Callithrix jacchus: one gene and its partners. The protein of the gene in region 2 interacts with the protein of the main gene of each other region in a pairwise test. Links are inferred from orthologs where the notes say so. Each region holds a gene or a part of one and is shown on either strand. Other genes may lie near its edges. The genes, in order: GPKOW, TCEA2, GOLGA2, TRIM27, MEOX2, TRIM54 and KXD1.

Evidence for each region.
Region 1: the proteins of TCEA2 (region 2) and GPKOW interact in binary tests that used the Homo sapiens proteins (3 or more experiments, as listed by UniProt). The two-hybrid records come from large-scale screens. The link is inferred for Callithrix jacchus from reciprocal best matches to the Homo sapiens genes TCEA2 and GPKOW.
Region 3: the proteins of TCEA2 (region 2) and GOLGA2 interact in binary tests that used the Homo sapiens proteins (3 or more experiments, as listed by UniProt). The two-hybrid records come from large-scale screens. The link is inferred for Callithrix jacchus from reciprocal best matches to the Homo sapiens genes TCEA2 and GOLGA2.
Region 4: the proteins of TCEA2 (region 2) and TRIM27 interact in binary tests that used the Homo sapiens proteins (3 or more experiments, as listed by UniProt). The two-hybrid records come from large-scale screens. The link is inferred for Callithrix jacchus from reciprocal best matches to the Homo sapiens genes TCEA2 and TRIM27.
Region 5: the proteins of TCEA2 (region 2) and MEOX2 interact in binary tests that used the Homo sapiens proteins (3 or more experiments, as listed by UniProt). The two-hybrid records come from large-scale screens. The link is inferred for Callithrix jacchus from reciprocal best matches to the Homo sapiens genes TCEA2 and MEOX2.
Region 6: the proteins of TCEA2 (region 2) and TRIM54 interact in binary tests that used the Homo sapiens proteins (3 or more experiments, as listed by UniProt). The two-hybrid records come from large-scale screens. The link is inferred for Callithrix jacchus from reciprocal best matches to the Homo sapiens genes TCEA2 and TRIM54.
Region 7: the proteins of TCEA2 (region 2) and KXD1 interact in binary tests that used the Homo sapiens proteins (3 or more experiments, as listed by UniProt). The two-hybrid records come from large-scale screens. The link is inferred for Callithrix jacchus from reciprocal best matches to the Homo sapiens genes TCEA2 and KXD1.

The regions. Positions count from the first base shown.
Region 1 is NC_133524.1:49,662,874-49,665,957, forward strand, and holds the end of GPKOW (G-patch domain and KOW motifs-containing protein), read right to left. Parts: intron 3,059-3,084; coding exon 2,989-3,058; intron 1,507-2,988; coding exon 1,421-1,506; intron 1,324-1,420; coding exon 1,189-1,323; 3' UTR 501-1,188; downstream 1-500. UniProt on the Homo sapiens protein: RNA-binding protein involved in pre-mRNA splicing. As a component of the minor spliceosome, involved in the splicing of U12-type introns in pre-mRNAs.
Region 2 is NC_133506.1:59,536,019-59,540,268, reverse strand, and holds the start of TCEA2 (transcription elongation factor A protein 2), read right to left. Parts: upstream 2,801-4,250; 5' UTR 2,687-2,800; coding exon 2,615-2,686; intron 21-2,614; exon of another isoform or gene 1-20. UniProt on the Homo sapiens protein: Necessary for efficient RNA polymerase II transcription elongation past template-encoded arresting sites.
Region 3 is NC_133502.1:176,872,008-176,875,507, forward strand, and holds part of GOLGA2 (golgin subfamily A member 2), read right to left. Parts: intron 3,120-3,500; coding exon 3,081-3,119; intron 2,812-3,080; coding exon 2,761-2,811; intron 2,673-2,760; coding exon 2,579-2,672; intron 2,482-2,578; coding exon 2,375-2,481; intron 1-2,374. UniProt on the Homo sapiens protein: Peripheral membrane component of the cis-Golgi stack that acts as a membrane skeleton that maintains the structure of the Golgi apparatus, and as a vesicle thether that facilitates vesicle fusion to the Golgi membrane.
Region 4 is NC_133505.1:2,077,837-2,081,336, forward strand, and holds part of TRIM27 (zinc finger protein RFP), read left to right. Parts: exon of another isoform or gene 1-368; coding exon 369-599; intron 600-1,289; exon of another isoform or gene 1,290-1,418; intron 1,419-3,500. UniProt on the Homo sapiens protein: E3 ubiquitin-protein ligase that mediates ubiquitination of various substrates and thereby plays a role in diffent processes including proliferation, innate immunity, apoptosis, immune response or autophagy.
Region 5 is NC_133512.1:42,792,488-42,796,787, forward strand, and holds the start of MEOX2 (homeobox protein MOX-2), read left to right. Parts: upstream 1-1,500; 5' UTR 1,501-1,779; coding exon 1,780-2,293; exon of another isoform or gene 2,294-2,334; intron 2,335-4,300. UniProt on the Homo sapiens protein: Mesodermal transcription factor that plays a key role in somitogenesis and somitogenesis and limb muscle differentiation. Required during limb development for normal appendicular muscle formation and for the normal regulation of myogenic genes.
Region 6 is NC_133515.1:87,734,329-87,738,262, forward strand, and holds the start of TRIM54 (tripartite motif-containing protein 54), read right to left. Parts: upstream 2,801-3,934; 5' UTR 2,487-2,800; coding exon 2,319-2,486; intron 1-2,318. UniProt on the Homo sapiens protein: May bind and stabilize microtubules during myotubes formation.
Region 7 is NC_133523.1:17,269,791-17,273,980, reverse strand, and holds the start of KXD1 (kxDL motif-containing protein 1), read right to left. Parts: upstream 2,801-4,190; 5' UTR 2,537-2,800; intron 1-2,536.

The DNA of each region.
Region 1 (3,084 bases), on a different chromosome or scaffold from region 2:
GAGCTCATAATCAAATGAGTCCTTTAACTTGTCCTGTACCCTGGGCAGGAAAGCAAGGCTGAAAAATGAAATGGTTCCCACCTCAGTCAACTCAGTTCCCACCTTAACTCGCAGCTCATGATACCACTTATGATTACATCTTTCTTTTTTTTCTGAGATGGAGTTTCGCTCTTGTTACCCAGGCTGGAGTGCAATGGCGCGATCTCGGCTCACCACAACCTCCACCTCCTGGGTTCAGGCAATTCTTGTGCCTCAGCCTGATGAGTAGCTGGGATTACAGGCAAGTGCCACCATGCCCGGCTAATTTTTGTATTTTGAGGAGAGACGGGGTTTCACCACGTTGACCAGGATGGTCTTGATCTGTCCACCTCGTGATCCACCCGTCTCGGCCTCCCAAAGTGCTGGGATTACAGGCTTGAGCCACCGCACCCGGCCTATGATTACATCTTTTTTTTTTGTTTTGTTTTTTAAACTCTCATGTAATGTTTATTTCACAAACATGAACTTGGAAGATTTTATAAGACAGCATCCCAGTCATTTACATGAAAATAGAAAAACCAGCTTGAGTTTAAGATAACAAATCTTTCTGTAAAACTAGCAAATCTTTCACCCAGACTTTAGTTTTAAAATTTGCCCTCTGAGCAGTGCTAGAGACATCTTTTTTTCTTTTTGAGACGGAGTTTCACTCTTGTTACCCAGGCTGGAGGGCAATGGCGCGATCTCAGCTCACCGCAACCTCCGCCTCCTGGGTTCAGGCAATTCTCCTGCCTTAGCCTCCTGAGTAGCTGGCATTACAGGCACGCGCCACCGTGCCCAGCTAATTTTTTGTATTTTTAGTAGAGATGGGGTTTCATCATGTTGACCGGGATGGTCTCGATTTCTTGACCTCGTGATCCACCCGCCTCGGCCTCCCAAAGTGCTGGGATTACAGGCGTGAGCCACCGTGCCTAGCCTGCTACATCTTTCTATTAAGTGTCCGAAATGGTTTTTATTATACCCTAAATTCTGGTAAATATTGGGTTTGTTTCTAGCTTCCCTACTGGTTCATCCATCCATGTCCCTTGTCCTTGTCCCAGAACTGCACTAGAAGTAGAGGATGGAACAATGATCTTCCCACCTTCTTGAAGGCAACTTCCTCATACTGTACAGAACTGGTAACAGCCTAGGGGATGGGAGGAGTCCCATGGGTCAGTCTTCATCTGTGTCACTAGGGCCCGTGTACTGGCAGACAGCATCGTAGTGAAGCTCCACCACCTGATTCTCTCTTGGCAGTTGCACCAAAGCCCGGCTCCGTGCTCTGTCCCGGCTCAGCAAATGTCCCACCTGGAACAGAGGTGAAGTGAAATCAGCAAGGCCAGCCTAGACCCTGCTACAGGCTGTGAATGACCCACAAACCTCCACTGCCAGGTTTGAGACTCACCCTTCCAGCCTGTGGGCCCAGCACCACCATCACACGGTCGCCCTCTGCCTTGGGAACCAGTGTCTCCAGCATGTCTTCCCTCAGGCCTACAGGTAAGGGAGAGGGGAGTGAGGCCCACAGCAAGGACCAGCCCAACCGGGGTCCTGTCAGAAGGGCCCTTCCTGGCCAGGTGTGGTGGCTCACACCTCTAGACCCAGCACTTTGGGAGGCTGAGGTGGGAGGATCTCTTGAGCCCAGGAGCTTGAGACCAATCTGGGCAAGATGGTCAGACCTTGTCTCTACAAAAAAAAAAAAAAAAAAAAATTTTTTTTTTGAGTCGGAGTTTTACTCTTGTTGCCCAGGCTAGAATGCAATGGCGCAATCTAGGCTCACTGCAACCTCCGCCTCCTGGGTTCAAATGATTCTCCTGCCTCAGCCTCCCAAGTACCTGGGATTACAGGTGCCTACTACCACACCCAGCTAATTTTGTATTTTTAGTAGAGACAGGGTTTTGAGCTGTTGGTCAGGCTGGTCTCAAATCCATGACCTCAGGTGATCCACCCACTTTGGCCTCCCAGCATGCTGGGATTACAGGCATGAGCCACTTCACCCAGCCTACAAAAAATTTTAAAATTAGCCAGGCATGGTAGTATATGCCTGAGTCCTAGCTACTCAGGAGGCTGAGGTGGGAGGATGGTTTGAAACCAGGAATTCGAGGTGGCAGTATCCATGATCGTGCCACTGCACTCCAGCCTAGGTGATAAAGCAAGACCCCATTTCAAAAAAAAAAAAAAGAAGGGCCTTTCCTGTATTCTCTGGAGCCACTCTATGCCCTGTTGACAGATAGAGTCCCACCACATCCATTTCACAGATGAGGAAGCCTAAGGAGTAGTTTATAAAAATCACTATAATAAAGGGAGGATGTCCATGTGGTGGTAGTGATAAGAACAGCCATCGTTTATTGCTGGCATGTTCTAAGCCCTGCCCTGCACTGAGAGCTCAATACACATCCCTTCACCAAGGTACCAATCACAAGAGGAAGAAAGTAATTTCCATGCTAATTTGATAGATGGAGGCCAGGCGCAGTGGCTTGTAATCCCAGCACTTTGGAGGCCAAGGCGGGAGGATCACTTGAGGTCAGGAATTCAAGACCAGCATGGTCAACATGGTGAAACCCCATCTCTACTAAAAATACAAACATTAGCCAGGTGTGGTGGCGCTTGCCTGTAGTCCCAGCTACTCAGGAGGCTGAGGCAGGATTATCGCTTGAAACCAGGAGGCAGAGGTTGCAGTGAGTCAAGATCATGCCACTGCACTCCAGCCTGGGCAACAGAGCAAGACTGTGCCTCAAAAAAAAAAAAAAAGAAAGAAAGAAAGAAAAAGAAAACTTGGCAGACCGGGAGTGTGGGGCTCAAGATAACTACCATAATGGAAGTGTCCAATGTTCTGTAAGAGGATGCTAGGCCTTGCAAAATACCTGAACTCTGCCCAACCTCCCAGCTTTGCCTGGGCCAGGCTCTGGGCCTAAGACACTCTTCTTGATCAACCTCCAGGATGATCATGCTCCAGCTGCAATCACTCAAACTCACCTTCCAGGACTCGGCCTTCATCTGTCTGACATACACAGGTATCTGGGCTTAGGACATCTTCAATTATCATCTGGGGATACAGGTCAGGGGGATGTG
Region 2 (4,250 bases):
TTCCAGGTTGTGACCTACATCTGAGGCAACGACCACACCCACTTCATTGTAGCCACCTCAGGTCACTGGCCCAAACCAGAACAGAAATGCCAGCGCCCCCCCGGCAAACTGGGAGGCTTCAGGGCCATGGCCCCTCCCCAGCAGCCAGGGCCGCACCCAGGTGAAAGGGCAGCCCTAGGTTCATTCACTCCCCTGTGCATTCATGCCCTGATGCAGGACAGCCTCCCCCAAAGCACCCATCCCCCCACCGGCTGTGAGGCCAACCCAGGAACATAAGTGTCCCCAGCTGAGGCCAAATTCTCGGGGTGCCTCCACTTCAGGCACAGCCACAGCCAACACCTCCAAGGCCCACAGCCCCCCTCCTCATCTATCCTCCAGGCTTCTGAGTTGCCCCCAAGCTGGCCAGCACTCCTTGCCTGGACAGCTGCAATGCACCGTTCTCTCTGCCTGTCTCCCTACCCAAGATCTGCGTTTCCTCCGGGTCCTCACACATAGATGAGGCAGGCGTAAAACTGGTCAAATTTCCACACCAGGCACAGCTCCTCCGTGCTCCCCAAGGGTACCGAGCCACCACCAAGGCCTCTGCACCTGCAGCTGCACTGCCTGGGGTGGCTTCCCAGGACAGCACCCTCCCTGTCTCCCGCCCAGGCTTTATTTAAACAACACTTTCTCATCAAGGCCTCTCCTATTTAAAACTGCAACTGCGCCCTGCAATACTCCCATCTTCTCTAAAGCACATGCCTGTGTTTCCACATGTGTATCATTCTCTCTGCCCTAAGATGATCTATCAGATGTCCCACAACCCAGAGGCCATGGGAGGGGCTTGTCCCCCCCCCCACAGCCCCAGCAATCTGGGAGGCATCTCTCCTCATGCTGTAGCCCCTCATCAACCCTCCCAGGCAGGCCCTGCCCCTTGGGCTATAGAGTCCAAGCTTGAGGTGATCGCCAGAGCCAAGGGCACTGTTTGCTGAAAGCTCTGCACCAGCTTATGTGACTCTCAGTGGGCTCAGGATAAGGGACATAAAAACCACCAAGCCTGGCCCTCAAGTCCCCCAGGCGACCTCAGGCACTGGGACCCCCCAGGAGGCTCTGCTGGCCCTCTTCCCCCTCCTCATTCTCTCCTGGGGCTTCTACTCAAGCTGTTCTTCCATCAGAACCCCCAATGTCAGTTCTTCGAGCCCCACCCAGCCCTCCCCTGGCTCTGTGACCCATCCCTGCTTCTCCCACCTACAGTTTTTCTCTTTTGTGTTTTGTCTCCTTTAAGAGGGGAAATAACTCCATTCTCAGGTCATCTCTGGAAACAGCTATAGAAGGTTCACAGACCCCTACTTTGTGCTGAGCAGTTTCCCGGGGTGCATGTGAATGCAGTGATGGCAGTGCTGCACCCAGCAGAAATGAGTGGGAGCCCACCCCTTCCCAGTGCAGATCCCAGCCCAAAACCCTGGTCAACAGGAACCCACACTCAACCCTGCTCAGCCCAAAAAGCTCCCCCCAAAGACCACTACTGCAGTCACACAGCCCTGGTGTAGCTGCACAAATCACCCAAAGCCCATGACTCAGCCACCTTCACCGCCCTGGGCTGGCCCTGCTCTAGGAGCTCACAGTCTGGGTGGGAAAGCACAGGCCACATTTATTGAACCGGCCAGGAGCTCCACCTGACCTGTGACCAGACCCCTCCCCACCCCCAGGAGACAGGCACCATCCTCTAAAGATGCTTTTGTGCAAAGGTGCACAGGGCGCCAAGGTCATGACAGTGGAACTGGACCCCCACGGGCCTGGCCCCTTCAAAGGCCTCACACACAGCCTCCTCCAAAGTCCTGCCGTGGCAGCAAGACGACAGAGGCCCAGGCCGCAGTGAGCAGAGCTGGTCAGACACTCCCGGGGGAGGCTTGCCCGACCTTCTGGGTCTTATATAAGCACACCGGCTCTTTTCCGGGGGTATCCACATAACAACCCACAACCCAAGTTGCTGCGGGCTAAATCCTGGCTAAAGAAGGGAGAGAATTTATTAGAGAAACCTGGTTCTTGCGGGGTGGGGACAGACAGGGCCTGTGAAGGATGACGACCAGGGCCGGGAAGAGGTAGGGGAGGCACAAAAGCTCCAGAGGAAAAGGGGACCTCAGACTCCAGACTCTTGCCGGTGACAAACGCTACGGGAGAGGGCTGAGCTGGGGGCGGGGCTCGGCCCGTGAGGATGCCCAGGCCCGGACGGAGGAAGGCAAGGGGGCCCGGGAGGCCAGAACACCCCGGGGGCTCCGAGAGGCGGGGAGGGGCCGGGCTCGGGTCTGCAGTTAAGGGACAGGGAAGGGTGCAAGCCTGTCACTGCGGGCGGGGAGGTGGGGCTGAGTCCAGAGCAGGTGGCTCCCGGGACAAGGTCCAGGCCCAGGTGCGGCCTCTCCCGGGGATGCGGGAGTGAGGGAGTGAACGGCAGGGCGGGCCCGGGGCAGGGGTCTCGGCCACGGGTGGGGGTCTTCCCTGCGTCCCGGGAGTCTCTGCCGGGGAGGGGTCTTGTCCTGCCCCTCAGGTCGTCTTCCGGCCCTAACGGGGGTCGGCAGGCTCGACGGGGTCTCGGCGGGGCGGGGGTCCCGGGGTCCTGGCGGCCCGCGCCCCTCACCGCGCTCTTCTTGGTCACCATCTTGTCCAGCCTCCGGGCGATCCGCGCAATCTCCTCCTCCTTGCCCATCATCACCTCAGGAGCAGCGCCCCCCGCGGCCGCCGCGCCCACCTCCGCCGCCTGGCTGGGACCCCAGCCCCGGCCGTCGCCACCTCCCGCACCCGCCGCAGCCGACGCAGGCCCGCCGCGGGCGGCAGACCCCGGTTCAAACCCTCGCCCCGCGGCCGCGCGCGGCATCCTGGGACGCGTAGTCCACGCGCCCGCCCGCCCCGCTCCCCGCACCCGTGCTCGCCGCGTTCTGAACCACAACCCCCAGGCGCCATGCGGCGCGCACAGTCTCCTGGGAAGTGTAGTCCTGACGCGCTGCCGCCAGAGACTCGTGATCCCACAATGCCCCGCGAGGAAAGCGCCCTCAGCAAGTCCCTCCCGGAGCTCAGGCAGCCCCGAGCGGCTGGGGCCCAGTAGGTCCGGAGTCCGCCCCCTTCTCTCCTCCTGTCTCGGGTCTTGCTCTCCCCCGGCGTCCTTCGGTGGGTGGCTCAGGACCTACCGCCCTCAGACCTGCTCTTGGGCCCCGCTGAGCCCCGCGCACACCGGCCTTGACCTGGAAGGCCATCCCCAGCGTTCCAGGGCCGAGTGTGGGTCACTGGGCCTCTGCGGGGATGTCACCTCTCCAGGAGGTTTGGGGGGCCTGCAGGTATGAGTGCGCAGTAGCTGGACGTGGCGTCTGGAAGGGGCCAGTGCTGGGGTTCGCGAGGTGCCGGGGGCCCCTGCAGAGGGTGCGTGGGCAAGGCTCCTGCCTCCACAGTCAGCTACCCGGGAGCAGATGCTGGGCTCTGCACGTTGACTGCTCTGTGCCTCAGTCTCCCCACCTGTGAAACTGGAATGACGAGATTGTCAGCCTCACAGGGCTCTTGTCAAGGTGATGTAAGCTGCTTCTCATCACATGCCTGAGAACCGAGCGGGGGATGGAGCGTGACAATTAGTGTTCACTGCCATTGCTGTTGGAGGTCCCCACTTAGGACCACACTGCAGGCAGCCAGAGAGATGGGCCAGGCCTGGGGAGGGTTAGGACAAGGAGAAGGCAGGGCCAGCATGCCCACCAATGCCTGCCAGCTCCTCAGTAACACAGATGCCAGGTGATTTGCTGATATCAAGACCATCTTGGCCATGGTGAAAACTCGTCTCTACTAAAATACAAAATATTAGGCCGGGCGCGGTGGCTCACGCCTGTAATCACAGCACTTTGGGAGGCCGAGGCGGGTGAATCACGAGGTCAAGAGATCGAGACCCCGTCTCTACTAAAAATACAAAAAATTAGCTGGGCACTATGGCGCGTGCCTGTAATCCCAGCTACTCAGGAGGCTGAGGCAGGAGAATTGCCTGAACCCAGGAGGCGGAAGTTGCCATGAGCCGAGATCGCGCCATTGCACTAGAGCCTGGGTAACAAGAGCGAAACTCCGTCTCAAAAAAAAAAAAAATTAGCCGGGCGTGGTGGCGAACCTGTAGTCCCAGCCACTTAGGAGGCTGAGGCAGGGGAATCGCTTGAATCCGGGAGACAGAGGTTGCAGTGAGCTGAGATCGTGCCACTGCACTCCAGTCTGGCGAAAGAGCAAGACTCTGTCTCAAAAAAAAAAAA
Region 3 (3,500 bases), on a different chromosome or scaffold from region 2:
ACTGGTCTCAAACTCCTGACCTCGTGATCTGCCCGCCTTGGCCTCCCAAAGAGTTGGGATTATAGGCGTGAGCCACCACACCCAGCCTAGTCTCATTTGTTTTTAAAAAAAAGAACTTAGTAAGGATGGAAGGGACAGGGAAAGAGAGCATATTTATGTATATATGTATGTAGGTATGTATGTACATGTATTTATTTATTTGAGACAGAGTCATATGTATTTATTTATTTATTTATTTATTTATTTATTTGAGACGGAGTCTCCCTCTGTCATCCAGGCTGGAGTGCAGTGGTGTCAAGTCAGCTCACTAGAACCTCCAGCTCCTGGTACAAGCGATTCTCCTGCTTCAGCCTCATGAGTAGCTGGGATTACAGGCATGCACCACACCTGACTTGTTTTTTATTTTTGTTTTATTTTATCTTATTTTATTTTATTTTTATTTTTATTTTTGAGACAGAGTTTCACTCTTGTTACCCAGGCTGGAGTGCAATGGTGCGATCTCAGCTCACCGCAACCTCCGCCTCCTGGGTTCAGGCAATTCTCCTGCCTCAGCCTCCTGAGTAGCTGGGATTACAGGCACGCACCACCATGCCCAGCTAATTTTTTGTATTTTTAGTAGAGACGGGGTTTGACCATGTTGACCAGGATGGTCTCGATCTCTTGACCTCGTGATCTACCTGCCTCGGCCTCCCAAAGTGCTGGGATTACAGGCATGAGCCACCGCGCCTGGCCGTATTTTTATTTTTATTTATTTATTTATTTTTGAGATGTAGTCTCACTCTGTTGCCCATGCTGGAGGGCAGTGGTACAATGTCTGCTCACTGCAACTTCTGCCCCCTGGGTTCAAGCAATTCTCCTGCCTCAGCCTCCCAAGCAGCTGGGATTATTGGGGCATGCCACCACGCCTGGCTAATTTTTTGTATTTTTAGTAGAGATGGCTAATAAAAAAATTAGCCAGGCGTGGTGGCAGGCATCTGTAATCCCAGCTACTTGAGAAGCTGAGGCAGAAGAATCGCTTGAACCCAGGAGGTGGAGGTTGCAGTGAGCCAAGATCACGCTATTGCACTCCAGCCTGGGCAACAAGATCGAAACTCTGCCTCAAAACAAACAAACATACAAAAACATGTTAGTATTAGAGGTTAAGTGCTTGCCTAAAATCACTTAGACAGAGCTGGGATTTGCTGGGATTTGAACACCCAGGTATATCTGATTCTCTAAGTCCATTTGTTCTCTGGGGGTGGGGCCACAGATAGGAAGGGGGTAATCTTTTGTTCACTTTTTGAAAGGATGATACAGGTTGGGCGTGGTGGCTCATGCCTATAATCTGAGCACTTTGGGAGGCCAAGGCGGGTGAATCACGAGGTCAGGAGACCATCCTGGCTAACAGGGTGAAACCCTGTCTCTATTAAAAATAAAAAAAAAAATATATATATATATATATATATATATAGACACACATGCATATATATACGTATATATACATGAATTCATTTATTTATTTATTTATTTGAGACAGAGTCATATGTATGTATGTATGTATGTATTTATTTATTTATTTATTTGAGACGGAGTCTCCCTCTGTCATCCAGGCTGGAGTGCAGTGGTGCCACGTCGGCTCACTAGAACCTCCAGCTCCTGGTACAAGCGATTCTCCTGCTTCAGCCTCACGAGTAGCTGGGATTACGGGCATGCGCCATACCTGACTTGTTTTATATATATAATTAGCTGGGCATGGTGGCATGTGCTTGTAGTCCCAGCTACTTGGGAGGCTGAAGCCGGAGAATCACTTGAAGCCAGGAGGTGGAGGTTGCAGTGAGCCAAGATTGCACAACTGCACTCCAGTCTGGACAACAGAGCAAGACTCTTGTCTCAAAAGAAAAAAAGGAAAAAGAAAGGATGATACATTTGCATGGTCCAAAACTCGGAAGGTACAGAAAGGAATTATCTCCCAGCCATGCTGTTCCTCTCTCGAGTTTTTAATGAATCCTTGCACGCGCAAGCACGCACACACACAGACACATGTTCCCTCTCTCTACACAAATGGTAACACACTAAAGATACTCTTCTGTATCTTCACAGTACAAGTATCATATCCCCTACCTACGACTTGGCCAAGGCCACAACCAGGAAAGGGAAGGGCAGGCACTTGGCCTCTGAGCTCTGTGTTCAGTGTTTGCTCCCCAGTGCTTCTCAACTCACCCACAGCAGCTGACTCAGCCCCAGGCTGCCTCTAACAACCACCCACAAAAGGAGTGAGAAATGGCCCATACTGCCTTCTAGGCAGGACACTCCACCCTGCAAAAGGGACCTTAAGGCTCACTCCTCCATCTGGGAAGCCAGCCTGCCAGGGAACGGGGCAGGGAGTTGGACTCACCCTGTCTGCCTTCTTTTGCTGCGTGGAGACAGCAGAGAGAGCCCGCTCCAACTCTCCCACACGCCGCCGGGAATATTGCAGGCGGCTGGCCAGATCTTCGGACTCTCCTGGAATGAGAGAGGTTGAGATGGGGCCCAAAGGACTCCCCTCTAAAGGTCTATCAAAGTGCCAGGCTGAAGGATGATGGGGTACCCAGATTCCCACCTTCTTTCTGCCTGGCAGCATGCTGAGTGTGAGCCAGGGCTGTCTGTAACTCAGCTTTCTCTGATACGAGGATTCCTATGGTCTGGATGTGAACCTTTGGGAGAAAAGTCAAGCAAGTGCTGAAAAAGAAGGAAAGAAACATTCTCCAGAGAACAGGAGGGAACTCCGCACCCTCCACTCACCTGTAACTGCTCCCTTAGGGCTCCCTGCTTTTGGTGACATTCTTTCTTTTCCTACAGGATGAGGAAGACAGAGCTCTTACTTGGGGAAGGCAGAGACGGCACAGCAAGGGACATGCCCCCAGAATGCCACCAATGCCCCAGGACAGGCCCACCCATAGGACCAAGTTATCAGGGACCCTGTGGGGATGGGATGGAATCTGGGGGTGGTGGTGACCTTCTTCCCCAGGCTGGGAGTGGGTGAGATGAGACTGAGGCCTCTACATTTGAATGCCCCCCAAACCCAGCAGTCATGTTGTGAGCAAACAAAGAAATCACGTTACTTCTTCCAACTGATCCGTAATTTCTTGGTTCTGTTGTTTCTGTGGGGAGAGTCAAAGGAAGGTGACTGAGGGTGGTCCCCTCAACTCTATTCCCCAGACCAGGAAGGGGTAGGCAGGGGCCAGGAATGGATTTTAAAGGCAAAGTTTTCAGACCCAATGGGAACACAAACTGGTAAACTCTCCTCAGGCTCCCAAGGAAAAGGGATTTGGGTCTTTGTTGGTTTTTGCCCACAGCCACAGAACTGGGTCTGGATCTGATTCTCTTGAAAGGACAGTAACATAAACCTCGAGAGATGAAGTGTGAGAAAAGGCCACCCTTCTGCCAGCTTGTGATTTAGAAAGGTGCATTCATTCAACAAACATTTGCTGAGCATATACGGGCCAGATACAGTTCTTAATAGCAGGGATATAAGACAGAAA
Region 4 (3,500 bases), on a different chromosome or scaffold from region 2:
TCACCATGTTGACCAGGATGGTCTCGATCTCTTGACCTCGTGATCCACCCGCCTCAGCCTCCCAAAGTGCTGGGACTACAGGCTTGAGCCACCGCGCCCGGCAGATTTTGTCTTAATAGTCACTGGGGTAACTCAGTTCCTGGCCATTACACATCCAGTCAGTAAAGAGTGGCAAGAATGAGTTAGCACTGTGCTTGTTTCTTTTGTTTGTTTGTTTGTTTGTTTCAGTCTTTCTAAGGTTCAATTCAGGTACACTGTGCTTGTTTCATCCATGATGAGGTCTTGGGGTGGGCGACCAGGGGAGAAATGTGAAGGCCCCAGAAATGAGCCATGTTTCTCTTTACTGCCTTTTCCTGTGGTCTGCACAGAGCCTAACCCAGATGGAAAGGGAGAAGATTGTTTGGGAGTTTGAGCAACTGTATCACTCCTTAAAGGAGCACGAGTATCGCCTCCTGGCCCGCCTTGAGGAGCTGGACTTGGCCATCTACAATAGCATTAATGGTGCCATCACCCAGTTCTCCTGCAACATCTCCCACCTCAGTGGCCTGATCGCTCAGCTGGAAGAGAAGCAGCAGCAGCCCACCAGGGAGCTCCTGCAGGTAAGGCTTACGGAGCTCTGCCAGAGCAGCATCCACTGAAAGTAGCCTCCCTTCTTCCTTTGCCAAGTAGTATCCAGGATCCCCTGTCTTCCTATTAGCTCTCGGGAATAGCAAGAGTTTGCCACACTCTGCATTGTGCACCCCGGAAGGAAACTATGTAAACTAGAAGTTCTGGTTGGCACAACGTGGATTAGTCAATTGCGTTGTCTCCTGAGAATGGCAAAAAGACCTGGTGCTTGGGCCTGCTTAGCACTGACAAGTGGTCTGATCACAGGCAAGGCTCTCCACTTGGGCCTCAGTGACCTCATGTGTTAACAATGAGGGGCTTAGATCACATGTCATTCAAACACTCTCTTCACTCCAGTATCTTGTAGTTTTAACATATGACTGTGGCCACCTGAGCAGGAGTGAGCACCTGAGCAGGAGTGGTTAGGTTCGCTGAGGGGTCTTGTGGTCTAACCCTGGAGAGCTGGTGATGAAGCTGCACAGACCTACCCCAGCAAAGCCACAGGGAACAAGCTAAGGCTTGTCTGTCGTTTGCTCATTCTGTGCATATTATTTGCTCTGTATCAGGCACCATTCTAGGCCCTGGGATTAAGAGCTGAATAAACTTTCCTGAATTATATTTTAGTGTGGCGATCAGACAGTTTTTATAAATATTGATAAAAGCTATTAAAAATTTATGATGGCAAGGTGTGCTCAGAGCAGGGGGCCTGAAGAATGGCTCTTCCGTTTATAACACACCCAACAGGAATCTGGAGTCATTGTGATGAGAGGCATGAAGCTTGTGGCCTCCCTAAAAACAAATGCTCTACATGTGAAAAATATTAAAAAAAAAAAAAATTAGGCCAGGCGCGGCGGCTCATGTCTATAATCCCAGCACTTTGTCAGGCCGAGGCGAGTGGATCATGAGGTCAAGAGATCGAGACCATCCTGGTCAACATGGTGAAACCCCACCTCTACTAAAAATACAAAAAATTAGCTGGCCACGGTGGTGGGCGCCTGTAGTCCCAGCTACTCAGGAGGCTGAGGCAGGAGAATTGCCTGAACCCAGGAGGCGGAGGTTGCGGTGAGCCGAGATCGCGCCATTGCACTCCAGCCTGGGTAACAAGAGTGAAACTCCGTCTCAAAAAATAAATAAATAAATAAAATAAAAATTGATGATGGCATAAGGCAGGAGCCAGCAGATTATGGTCTGTCACCTGTGTTTGTATGTCCTGGGCGACAAGTGTGGTTTTTACATCTTTACATGGGAAAAATCAGAGAAATGTATTTTTTTTTTTATTGTTTTTCTTTTCTTTTCCTTCCCCTTTTTTTGAGATGAAGTCTCACTCTGTCTCCCAGGAGGAGGGAGCACAGTGACACGATCTCAGCTCACTGCAACCTCCACCTCCCAGGCTCAAGCAATTCTCCTGCCTCAGCCTCCGGGTAGCTGGGATTACAGGTGCCATTCACCACACCCGGCTAATTTTTATATTTTTATTATAGACGGGGTTTTACCATGTTACCCAGGCTGGTCTTGAACTCTTGACCTCAGGTGATCCACCTGCCTCGGCCTCCCAATGTGCTGGGATTACAGGCGTGAGCCCAGCCAAATGTATTTTATTATATGTGAAATTATATTCAATTTAAATTTAGTACTCATAAATTTTTATTGGAACTCAGCCGTGCTCATTTGTTTTGTTACATATTATCTGTCATTGCTTTTCTGCTACACCAGCAGCGTTGAGTTGTAGCAGAGATTATATGGCCCACAAAGTCTAAAATATTTACTGCTTGGCCTTTAAAAAAGATTGCCAGCCGGGCGCAGTGGCTCACGCCTATAATCCCAGCACTTTGGGAGGCCGAGGCAGGTGGATCACGAGGTCAAGAGATCGAGACCATCCTGGTCAACATGGTAAAACCCCATCTCTACTAAAAATACAAAAATTAGCTGGGCATGGTGGCGCGTGCCTGTAATCCCAGCTACTCAGGAGGCTGAGGCAGGAGAATTGCCTGAACCCAGGAGGTGGAGGCTGTGGTGAGCCGAGATTGTGCCATTGCACTCCAGCCTGGGTAACAAGAGCGAAACTCCGTCTCAAAAAAAAAAAAAAGAAAGAAAGATTGCCAACCCTTGGTTTAGAATAATAAAAGACCGCCGGAACTGTAATGAACATCAGTATGTGACAGGGAGAAACGGAAGAATTTGCAAAGAGGACAGTTGGCCAGGGAGGTAAAATGTGACCAGGCCTGTTTGAGGAAGGAGGGAGTGGACACCATACTAATGCAATTGAGGTGAAATTACATTACTGTGAATTGCAAAGCTGGTGCAAATTTGATTTAATAGCATGACCGTTATTATGTAGACCTTCTGTAGAACTGTCACAATGGAATAACTGGGGCGGGAGCCATATTAGAGGGAGCTGAGTGAGCAGGGACTGGAGGAGACTGCACAAGTAGATGACTGAGGAGAGGGTGTAATAAAATACCTAGAGATGAGGCAGGATGATGGAGTTTTATCTGGAGCAGGAAAGGAGTCTATGTTGTAAGGTTTCCAGGTGAGAGAGAGGGAACACTGACGTCGCCAGAAACGATACACTGATGAACAGTGCGTGGTTCCTGAGAAGGCAGGTGGAAATGAGAACTAAAGTCTGTGTGCCAGGAATTAGTTTCAAGGGTCTTCTGTTCCATGGAAACAAGTTATTGTTTCAGAGTATGGGAAAGTCACTTGGCCTGCGAGAACCAGGAGGAGTGTTTGGTCAGTGAACATCTATTTATAGTGTAACCATTCTGCCCTGTTGTGTAACTTTCTTAGCAGCTTTGCTTTCTTAAATCTTGACGGCTGTGGCACAGGCAGTGAGAAAGTGGATAGTCTCATCCAGGATTGGGTTTTGCAAGATGGATTTGAGGGTTTTTTTCTTC
Region 5 (4,300 bases), on a different chromosome or scaffold from region 2:
AAAGAAAAGATAGGCTTAAACAGGGGGACTGGAAGAGGAGAGGAAAGGTTCTGCTTTGGGGACACCTCTCAAAGATTAATCAATACTTTTTCCTAATTCAAACCAGATGTCTAGCCCAGTTTGCTGTACCCATTAATCCCATTAACAACTTCAAAGACCTGGTCACCATCCTCTGGACACCTGAGACAATGAAAATAACAGGGCGACACTGCTGGTGGTGCAGTCGGGGCTCCGGGTGGAATAGGTGACTACAGATATTCTCCTGATCCGACACGTCCCAGATCCGACGTGACTGTTCCTCCTGCTCATTAAAGCCCATTCACTTGTGTATAAACGACTGTGCCCCAGCGGATCTTGTCGCTCACCAAGCAAGTGGCAGTATCAAAGCCCTGCCCTCGCTCTCCCATGCTTACTGGAGGCAAGTTATCGAGTTTATTTTCAGGGATGCAAAGATGTAATCAAGCGCCCAAGCTTAGTGAATTCTTAGAGCTATCGAAATTTAAGATTTCTCAGTAAATGGAGCAGTGGTGTTAAGAGACACGATTAGTGGATTTATTTTTGAGCAGAAGAGTGGATTTCTAGAGGGAACTGAAGAGACCTGGGCTAGCTCCGGAGGGGAGAGGCTAGAAATGTGCATGCAAATCTACACATCTCATGTGACTGGGACAAAATCGCTTGGAAATAATTCTTGACCCAGGAAAATTTCTTCTTGGTGGACGAGTGGCTAGGAAATTGAGCGAGACCAGGAAAGCGGGGGGGAGGGAGACTCCACCGGGCATCGCACGTGAGGATGCCAGAGAGCAGGCATCTGCAATTCGCGCTTACCTCCCACCCACCCCACCAGGTCTTCCTTAGGTCTTCCTCTCAGGTCTTTCCGCACTGTGAACCACACTTTCCAGGCCATGGTGCACGTCCCCGAAACCTCAGACCTGGCGTCCCAGCCTCTTAACCACCACCCACAGAAACTAACTGCGAAAACCTAGGCGCGCGGCGGCGCCCTGGGCACGGGAAGATGCGAAGTTTGAAAAACTTCCAGAGTGCGCCAGGCTAGCTCTGATCTTTTCCTTTAACCCTATCACTTCTTTCGTGTTCCTCAAAGGCTAGGCGTATCCCTAGCTTTTCTGCAGGTGACAGTTCCCAAATGACACTGACAAGTTACGTTTTCCCAAGAGAAAAATTAGTAGGTGGGAAACAGGGTGCTGGGTTGGCGCTGGTGCGCGCCGCGCCCTGGCCTCCAGAGTCTGGAGGGCAGAGCCGCTGCCCTCCCGGGCGGGATTTAGACGCTGGCGCGCCGCTTGTAGTCCTGGTAGCTGGCAGGGCTAGGCGGGCGTGGACGCTCTGCGTCTGTCCAGCCGGCGATAGGAAGTGGAACTGGGAGCGCGTGGCGCAGACTGAGCGGGAGTTTTGGAGGGAGTTTGCATGTGGTCAACTCTGGGCTCCTAAGCCAGCCCCCAGCTCACGTTACAGTCTATTTATAACCTCTCAGAGCCATTTCCCCCTGAAGGCAGTTCACTGGGACCACCTTCTTTTGGCTTCAACCTCTCCCACTCTTGACATCTGAGTAGCTCAGGGAAGCTCTTCCAGGTCCGACTGTTCATATGTAAAGGAGACTGGCCGTTAGGGCTCAGGACCGGGATTATCCGAGCTCTGCAGAAGTGCACGGCTATTGCTTTGAGAGGGGTAAAAAACATCACACGGTTTCCAGTGAAAAGTGACAGAGGGTGGTGGCCTTTAGAACCGCCGTGAAGTCTTCTGCCTGGAACCCGAAACTTGCATGCTATGGAACACCCGCTCTTTGGCTGCCTGCGCAGCCCTCACGCCACGGCACAAGGCTTGCACCCGTTCTCCCAATCCTCTCTAGCCCTGCATGGAAGATCTGACCATATGTCTTACCCCGAGCTCTCTACTTCTTCCTCATCTTGCATAATCGCGGGATACCCCAACGAAGAGGGCATGTTTGCCAGCCAGCATCACAGGGGGCACCACCACCACCATCATCACCACCATCACCACCATCAGCAGCAGCAGCACCAGGCTCTGCAAACCAATTGGCACCTCCCGCAGATGTCCTCCCCACCGACTGCGGCTCGGCACAGCCTCTGCCTCCAGCCCGACTCCGGAGGACCCCCAGAGTTGGGGAGCAGCCCGCCTGTCCTGTGTTCCAACTCTTCCAGCTTGGGCTCCAGCACCCCGACCGGGGCCTCGTGCGCGCCAGGGGACTACGGTCGCCAGGCACTGTCACCTGCGGAGGCGGAGAAACGAAGCGGTGGCAAGAGGAAAAGCGACAGCTCAGGTAAGAGAGCGCCAGGCACCCTCGAGAGTGCGCGCCGGCCTGGAAAGGGGGCGGGGAGATGCCAGGGAAGAGTCTGGCCCTGGAGGGTGGCGGCGGGGAAGAGGGGAATGTGTTAAATTCGGCGGTGAAGCTTTGGTCCTGTTATTTGGGGGCACGTGTTTATCCGAGAGCAACACAGCTAGCAGCTCTAAGCTCTCCAAGGTCCTAAACTAGTTTACCAGAAGGTTGATAAAAAAGGACAAGTGGCTGTGAAATCGATTGCGAAGCGTGACCTTCCATCCCAGCGCGGGGGAGGGAGGGGCGTGTGCCCAGGGATGCCGCGTCCGTTGGGCAGGCGTGCGTGCGTGCGGGTGCTGCTTCTTGACTTTTCTCTTGCAAGTTCCCGACTCTGAGTGGCTTGACTTTTCCCATCGTAAACTGGATTTCCAAATTATTGCACAATATTTGGAACTTGCAATGGAACTTGGCAGAGCACATGAGAAAAAAAAAAAAGTTTTAGTTTTTTTTTTTTAAACATTCTTGTTTGAGAGTTCTTTAAATAGCACCCTATTTCAAATGGTAAAAATTTCCCCTTCTTAGGGAAGAAGATATTATCTAGGAATTCAGATTTTAAGGAATGTGTCAGAGAATTGTAAATAAATACATGCTCACGCTGGAAGAAAGACGAACCTTAATATAGTACATGTTCATGTTGTGTAAGTTAATTACAGAATCTAAATTTCAAGAGTGGAAAATAAATCCCTCTACCAAGTTGGTTTTAGCTGCGGCAAATACTGGGTAGCGAACAGCAACTTGGGTAGTGTCAGTTAGCTACGTGCCTGAAGGTCGTATGCAAGGGTGCGCAGGAAGCGCTGATTTCAGTGAGGATAATTTGAGCAGCCACGCAAAAGGGGAATCTTCCTGACCTCTGGTGCTTGAAGGCACAACTTGCAGAGTAAATTGTAGCAATCCAGAGAAACTCAAAGTTTTCCAGACAACTTTTCAAAGCTCTGACCTACTTCTATTATCATAAAATTGTTAAAAGATACTTTAAAATTGAGAGACTTGTGAGTTTTCTTTCGTGGCTATGGTGCACCCTGGCTTCCATCTTTTTGGAAGGTATTATTTGTTTAATATAATATTTGTATATTTTTCTTCCTCTGCGGAACTGGGTTAATAATAGTCCTAGAAGGTAATCCCATATATTGGTTTGAAGGATTGGAATGTTTATGCTTTTTAAAGCTTTAGGTGAGATGTCACATAAATGAAAATGATTGACCGCATGTTTAATATTCCTCTCCCCTTCGCAGCAATATCAATCGTTCTTCAGCGTTAGTATGGGATAGATTCTTCTGTCAGAAGAATAAAATAACTTTTATTTTCCAAGGATAGGGGATGAACTTTTAATGTTCAATCACAAATTAGTTTTTATAAGAAAGTTAGCAGTGGTGTCACTGATATTTACTGTATTTTCCTAACTATAAGTGAAACTCCCTTTAGATAGTGGAAGGTTAATCGTTGTAAGAAGGTTTCAATTTTTATTAGAAAAACCGTCGATTTTAGAATGCAGTGACAATTTTATAAACTGAACATTCGATATCAGTGTAACTTTTGAAAGAGATCCCAGTTCAGGCTGATGAGAGTACTCTTGCAATTCCCATAAGCCCTTACTGTTCATTTTATTTTTCTGCAATGAGAAACCTACATGATAGCCTTATGCTTCCGGAACTGAGCCACTGCCCTTAAGTTTCTTAGGGCAAACAATTTTCATGCAAGCACATGTTATTTTGTTTGGGGGAAACCAAGAAAATGGAATTCAATAACTGATTTCCTTAATTTATTTTAATAAAACTTTTTTTTTTAAAAAGGAATAATTTAATAACATTTGTCTCTTCCCCCAACTGTGTGGGAAATAGCCATTTAACAAAATTAAGTTCATTTCTACATGTTGAAGCTGATAATGAGGGTAATGGAAAAACAAACAAATATAAGTGTTTGTGTCAGCTGAATAAATTATGAATAAATTAA
Region 6 (3,934 bases), on a different chromosome or scaffold from region 2:
AAGCCATTCCCAGGTCTCTTTGAGTCCAAATCAGTATTCTAGAGCTTTCTGGAACCAAAACTGTGCTTGGCTAGAGAGGGTTGACTTGAATAAGCAGGTCACTTAAACACATTCTAGACTCAATGTATGGGGCCCTCTGCCAGATGACAGAGGAACCCAGGAGTGCACTTGGACATTCTGACCACTTTTCCACAGGACATGTCACCTTCGCTTTCAAAACTTCTCTTTGCTTTCACACATTTCAAGTTCCAGTGACAGGATGTTTCACTCTAAGTTCATGAGAAAGGATGGCAAAATCTTTCTGCCATTCCCTCCTAGGCATCTCAGCCTGAAGGATATTCAGAGTTACTAAGACCAAGGAAAATCCAAGACGGTGGGCAAGGCATTGCCTCTCATGGAGGACTTCATGCCCAGGATGAGGAGGCACAGCGTTTGGTCTAGGCCCCCTGAGAGGGAAAATCTACTGGCTCTGAGATACTCTGGAGCTGAATAATGGCAGATTTGGACAATAAAGAATAGGAGAGGGAGGCCGAGCGCGGTGCCTCATGCTTGTAATCCCAGCACTTTGGGAGGCTTAGGCGGGCGGATCATGAGATCAGGAGTTCGAGACCAGCCTGGCCAAGATGGTGAAACCCCATCTCTACTAAAAATACAAAAAAAAGAAATTAGCCGGGTGTGGTGGCAGGTGCCTATAGTCCCAGCTACTCAGGAGGCTGAGGCAGAAGAATCGCCAGAACCCAGGAGGCAGCGGCTGCAGTGAGCTGAGATCACGCCACTGCACTCCAGCCTGGATGACAGAGACTCCATCTAAAAAAAAAAAAAAAATAGGCTGAGCACAGTGGCTCACACCTGTAACCCCAGCATTTTGGGAGGCTGAGGTGGTTGGATCACAAGGTCAAGAGATCAAGACCATTCTGGCCAACATGGTGAAACCCCATCTCTACTTTAAAAAACACAAAAAATTAGCTGGGCATAGTGGCACATGCCTGTAGTCCAAGCTACTCGGGAAGCTGAGGCCGGAGAATCGCTTAAGGAAGCAGTGAGCCAGGATTGTGCCACTGTACTCCAGCCTGGCAACAGAGTGAGACTCCATCTCAAAAAAAAATTAAAAAATAAAATAAAATAAAAAATAAAAGAATAGAAGATATAATGGGCCTCAGTGGGAAGATGGCAGGAGGGACCACAGAGTGCTGGTCTTCAGTGAAGATGCCACACAGCAGACACACAAGGGTCGGGTCACAGGGCACAGTGTGGGATGGCCTGACCTAGCCAGCCCATTCCTTCCCCAAACAAGCTGCCCCAAGGAACTTAAAAGGGAAGTATTCCTTGACTAGGCTAAAAATCACTTGTGTTTAACACATTTCCTCATCATTTCTGACACGGATGAAGAATACTTGTTTGGGATGTCCCGTGTCACTAACACACATACTAAGCCAGCCAGCGTGGTCTATTTTGGATTTTTACTCATCAGCTAGGCCGTGTGTGTGTGCGCGTGCCTTTGCCCCGTACTCTCCCTGATCTCTGTTCCATAGCCTACTAGAACCCCCTCAGTGGCACAGGACAAGAAAAAAAAAGCCCACTTAGAATCCATTCTGGTACATGCTTTTACTTCTAAACCAGTGGCTAAAATGGTATCTGTGAATTTGATTAGCTATGCTTGGCCCCATGACCACAAATAATCCAAAACTGGCTAGACTTCTAAGAAGTCAATTTCTTCACTGCCCTCTCTCTGCTTGTTAAGTGATCTCGATAGCTTGTAACCAGAAGGCCTCTTTACTGAATGACCTAGAGGGTGACACGTATGAACTTAAGTTGGGGAGAAGTCCCAGTCTCCTGCCTACCATATCTAACTCTGTCCCCACAATGGATGCACTGAACTTTCCTTAGTTTTATTGCCACTGTGGAGCTTTCTCACAGGGTTAGGTTTTATTTTACTTATTTTTTAACATTTCATTATCTCATTAATCTTTTCTCCAGATTTTCCACAATGCACTCAAAGTCTGAAACTCCAAACTGGACTGCAGAGTCTGGGAGTCCCCTTCCCTCCCAGCTTCCACAGGGTCTCCTTTCCTTGGTAGATCCCAGCACTCCAGCTGCTGGCCACACAGGCTATACATGCCAGCCTGCGGGCAGCTGCTGACTCATGCTCACTCTGGGATTTGCTTGGACCCCAGCACTTCTGCTCTCCAGCCACAACAGCCACCACCCACCTCAAAGAGCACTCTATCCATCACCTTCTGGGGTCTCAGCTCTGATCTGATCGGTCCCCCACAGGTCTGCCTTGTTTTACCTGGCCCTGCCCCATCCCTTATGCCCACCTGGAAGACGTCGTTGGCACACTTGCGGCACAGGTTGTGTTGGCAGGGCAGGATCACCACCGGTTTGGAGAACATCTCCAGGCAGATGGGGCAGATGAGCTGCTTCTCCAGGTTATCCATGCTGTGTGCATCCCCTAGCAGCGGCTTGAAACCCACTGTGAAGTTCATCCCCTCGATGGTCGCACCTGCCCTGGCCTGGGCCCTGTTCCTGGCCTTCACTCACTGTCTGCAGACCCTTCCTCGCTTAGACAGCCTGTGGATTCCCTTCTGTGGCGCACTCTTGAAATAGCACTGCTATCTCTCCTGTCCCTTTCTTTAACAACTTGTCTCGTCCCAGAGAGCAGTCTTTAGACACTTGTCTTTCTCTACTTTCTGCTCTGCACCCTCGCCAGGCTCACGTAGTTTTATCTATCCCTTTCTCTGTAAAATTCTCCTGTTTCCTAAATGACCCTCTCTTGTTCACTCTGTGGGTAGCACTGTTTGTCCCTTACTCCCCAGAGACAAGATTAATTTTACTGTGGGGGTGGGGAGACAAGGGGCATCTGCATGACATTCCAATTCCCAATTTAGCTCATGTAAGGCGAGCCACAGCTGTCACAGAGTGAGTGACCCTGACTCACTCAGGAATGGGTGACTCCCTTGAGCAAGAGCAGGGGCAAGCACCACTGCTTACGGTGAAAGGTGGGTCAGCAAAGGGTCTGCCCTCTCACTCTGAAGGCTCCTCTGAGCCCGGGAACCCTGCTCTGGCTTGGGCCTTTCTTCCAGGACCGGGACACAGAATCTAAATCGGCCTGTGTGAGAGGCACCCATACATAGCTTAGGGTGGGAGGAATGATCCTGCCAGACTTAGAGTCAGTAACAGTTTCCTCCTCCACAGGCTCAGCCAGTGACCCAGGTCCTCCTCCTCAAGACTCTGTGATTCAGAACAGCAGCTCGAGGGATGACATCAAGCCTCTTGTCCAACACCTTGGGCTCATTTTTGTTCTTGCCCAGCCTTTTCTTATATCACCCTAGGAAAAGAAGCTCAAGAGGCTAGAAATGACTGTTGTGCCATAGCCTGGACCTATCTATGAGCATGTCCCTGAGGAAATGTGGGATTCTGGTCCATGAACACATCCCTGGAGCCACTCCAAGGACTTCAAATTTGTTAGGAAATTGGGAGAAGGTGAGCTGGGCAGAGAGGACCTGAATGCCAGGGACCTATTTTGGGCACCCAGGGAAACAATCTCCAGGGAAATTTTAGAGCACTGACAAAGTCATAATCACAAGTCTCTGGGGAGCCTCTGCCCCAGCCCCACAGTTGTTCGGGACTCCTACTTTCCAAGCCAGGCTTGCCCCAGTGTGAGCACTGACTTTTTCTCCTACACGTCTTTTTCTCCACTTGATCTTAGCCAAAGGGCCAAGAAGCAATTTCTTTAGGCCCTTTTTCTTCACCCCAGACACACATAGTTTGTCTTTTTCAGGCCCAACATATGCCTTGGGACTGGACAAAGCTCTTTTATTTACTGACATTCTTTAGCCCTTCTCCCAGTCCAGGGAGAGAAGTTTCAGGAGTTAGTAGGCTGTGACCCTGAGTGGGTGGGAAATACATGGTGTGAAGAGGACACGAAATAGCA
Region 7 (4,190 bases), on a different chromosome or scaffold from region 2:
CTCTACTAAAAATACAAAAATTAGCTGGGTGTGCTGGCAGGCGCCTGTAATCCCAGCTGCTCAGGAGGCTGAGGCAGGAAAATCACCTGAACCCAGGAGGTGGAGGTTGCAGTGAGCCGAGACCACACCATTGCACTCCAGCTGGGGCAACAGAGATTCCATTCCCCCCAAAAATAAAGGGTTTCAGAGCTCACTTAACCTACTCTCCTATTTATTCAAGCTCATACATACTAACTGCTATCCTTATTTATAGATGAGAAAATGGAGGATCAGGGACACTAAAGAACTGGGACACTGTCACAATCCCAGCAGTGAACCTAAGTCACAACAAATGTCCACAGCCCAGAGGTCTCACAAATGTGTGGATCTTAACAGATGCACAATATCTAGCAGTGACAGGACAGTGGCTTCTTACAGCAGCTGATTTCTGTATGACCTCTGAAGGATTTTTTTTTTCTAGGAAATTGACTCATTGACAAATGTTAGCAATGAATACTTTTTCCCAAAATATCATGGAGGCCAAGGGTATCTCTTTGTGATCTGAATCTGGCTGGCCAGTGGTTTGCAGCACCTTCTAGAAATACAATGCCACACCCAGTGAAACCCCCCTCCAATAATTACTATGGTTATTGAACTCCTGTGACATGCCAGGCAGAGACACCCACAGTCCCCACATTCCCAAAGAAGCATGCTCTTGTATAAAGAGGATACCTGGACTGGGTGCTCACGCCTGTAATCCCAGCACTTTGGGAGGCTGAAGCTGGCAGAGCACCTGAGGTCAGGAGTTTAAGACCAGCCTGGCCAACATGGTAAAACTCCCGTCTCTACTAAAAATACAAAAATTAGCCAGGTATGATGGCAGGCACCTATAGTCCCAGCAACTCAGGAGGCTGAGGCAGGAGAATTGCTTGAACTCTGGAAACAGAGATTGTAGTGAGCTGAGATCAAGTCACTGCATTCCAGCCTGGGCAACAAAGGGAGACTCCATCTCAATTAAAAAAAAAAAAAAGCTGGGTGCGGTGGCTCACGCCTGTAATCCCAGCACTTTGGGAGGCCGAGGCGGGTGGATCACAAGGTCAAGAGATCGAGACCATCCTGGTTAACATGGTGAAACCCCATCTCTACTAAAAAGTACAAAAAATTAGCTGCGCATGGTGGCGCGTGCCTGTACTCCCAGTTACTCAGGAGGCTGAGGCAGAAGAATTGCCTGAACCCAGGAGGCAGAGGTTGTGGTGAGCCAAGATCACGCCATTGCACTCCAGCCTGGGTAACAAGAGCGAAATTCCGTCTCAAAAAAAAAAAAAAGGTGGGGCGCAGTAGCTCACGCCTGTAATCCCAGCACTTTGGGAGGCCGGATCATGAGGTCAAGAGATTGACTTCAGATCACGGATTGATCCAAGGTCAAGAGATTGATCACGGATCACTTTGGGAGGCGGGTGGATCACAAGGTCAAGAGATTGAGACCATCCTGGCCAACATGGTGAAACCCAGTCTCTACTAAAAATATAAAAATTAGCTAGGCATGGTGGCGTGTACCTGTAGTCCCAGCTACTCGGGAGGCTGAGGCAGGAGAATTGCTTGAACCTGAGAGGCGGAGGTTGCAGTGAGCCAAGATCATGCCACTGCACTCCAGCCTGACACCTGGCGACAGGGCAAAACTCTGTCTCAAAAAAAAAAAAAAAAAAAAAAGACACCTGGAAAGGAAGGAAGCCCGTAGCTAGTGGCAGTGGGACACAGTTACTGGGACCTTCTGGGATACACCCCTACTTCAAAACAGAAATCTTTCCTGTCTCTGACTCCCAGATGTGAGGGCTGATTTATGGCACCTCCCTCTTGTTCCCCCTGCAGTTTCCTCTCCCAAGAAGCCTTCCCTGATTACTGCTAGTCTGGCCCACCTAGTGAAATTGACCAAGCAAGGGCTCTGATCCCAACTCCAAATGTGGATTTATTGAAGAAACGTAGGCTGTTTAACCTTAGGAGAGCCACTTCACCCTTCTGAATCAGTTTTTTCAACCATAAAATGGGAAAAGGGTGGAATGAAGATCTCACAGTGCTGTCTGTGAGAATTGAAACCAACGGTGATAACGAGTGGAGCTCAGAACGGGCTGTTTTTCCAAGAGGAGTGTGAAGGAGTACCGGGACAGGGCCCAGGAGTCAACATTTAGAGAGCATCCCAAGGGCTTCTAAGAATATATTATGGACAGACACTTGTAGAGCACTTCATTTAATCCTCAATCACCGTTATGAGGCAGACGCAATCACCTACGAGGGAAACTGAGGCTCACAAGAGTGGGCGCAGTTGCCAAAACTCACACGGAGAGGCAGAGCAGGACAACGGTTCTATCCAGATTATTTAACATAATTTAACTCCGCCATCCAAGCTCTGAAAAACCCCAAGTGGGGAGGAGCTCAGATATCCCCTCACGCCCCGTCACCTACAATGCGGGGAAACTGAGGCACAAGCCGGGCAACGCCCAGCTCCAGGTTACACGGCACACCCAGAACACAGGCGGCCCCACTTCCTATTTCTATACACCTGATCCGGATCCAGATCCAGCCCGCGGCGCCGCAGGTGTATCCATTGCGCAGACGGGGAAACTGAGGCCTGTGCGCAGCAGGAGTGACCAGATGTGGCCAGCGGCGCACCCCACCCCACCGCAGCCCGGGGGCCGCGCCCGACCCGGCCCGGTTCCCCGCGGCCCTGAAGTCCCCAGCCCCACCCCAAACTCGGCCCCGGCGTCGGTAGCGGCGGCACCTGCACATCTGGCGGCCTCGCTCGCGCTTCCGGGATGGCGCCCGCGCCGGCGCAACGTCACCACGCACCGATCGTGCGAGCGCGCGTGGCGGCGACGTATCCTGGAACCCCTTGCGTGCTTGGAGTCACGACAGGAAAGGGCGGAGCTTAGACGCAGCTTCAGCTCGCGGGTGGTCACAATGAATAGCCAATCAAGCAGTTCGGCTTGCGCCTGCGTATTTTCCGAAACCCCGGGTTCAGAGCAGCCTGGCAGAGGGAACGCTCAAAGAAGAGTTCCATCTTATAGATGGTGTGACTGAGGGCCCAGAGCGGCAACAGTCCCCAAGATCGTAAATGCTCCAGTGGTCTGTGGCCAAACCAGACCCGCGTGTCCTGCTTTCCAGGCAGGGAATCAGCAGAGCTGAGGTGGTGCCGGTGCTACGGCACCTCAGCCTAAGAGACAAGAGCGAAACTCCATAAGAAAAAGGATTTCCGGCCGGGCGCGGTGGCTCGCGCTTGTAATCCCAGCACTTTGGGAGGCCGAGGCGGTCAGATCACCTGAGGTTGGGAGTTCAAGACCAGCCTGACTGACATGGAGAAACCCCGCCTCTAAAAAACTAAAAGAAAAAAAGGAAAAGGATTTCCATTTGCATTTAGTCATGTCTCCTTAGTCTCTTACCCAATCCACCATTTGTGTCAGGTTCTCCACGTCTTTCATGATCTTAATGATTTTTGTTTGTTCGTTTGGTTTGTTTGTTTTTAAGATGAAGTTTCAGCCGGGCGCGGTGGCTCACGCCTATAATCCCAGCACTTTGGGAGGCCGAGGCGGGTGGATCATGAGGTCAAGAGATCGAGACCATCCTGGTCAACATGGTGAAACCCCGTCTCTACTAAAAATACAAAAATTAGCTGGGCATGGTGGCGTGTGCCTGTAATCCCAGCTACTCGGGAGGCTGAGGCAGGAAAACTGCCTGAACCCAGGAGGCGGAGGTTGCGGTGAGCCGAGATCGCGCCATTGCACTCCAGTCTGGGTAACAACAGCGAAACTCCGTCTCAAAATAAATAAATAAATAATTTTAAAAATAACAATAAAAAATAGGATCTCGCCGGTGCCATGGCTCACGCCTCTAATGCCAGCATTTTGGTAGGCCCAGTCTGGCGGATCACGAGGTCAGGAGTTCAAGACCAGTCTGACCAACATAATGAAACCCTGTCTCTACTAAAAATACAAAAATTATTTGTATTTTTTGTATTTTTAGTAAAGACAGGGTTTCATTATGATGTGGTGGTGTGCGCCTGTAATCCCAGGTACTTGGGAGGCTGAGGCAGGAGAATCTCGTGAACCTGTGAGGTTCACGAGAACCTCACAAGAGCGAAACTCCGTCTCAAAACAAAAAAGAAAAAAATAAAATGGGCCCGTGGCCCCATCTATGGTCCCAGCTGCTCAGGAGGCTGA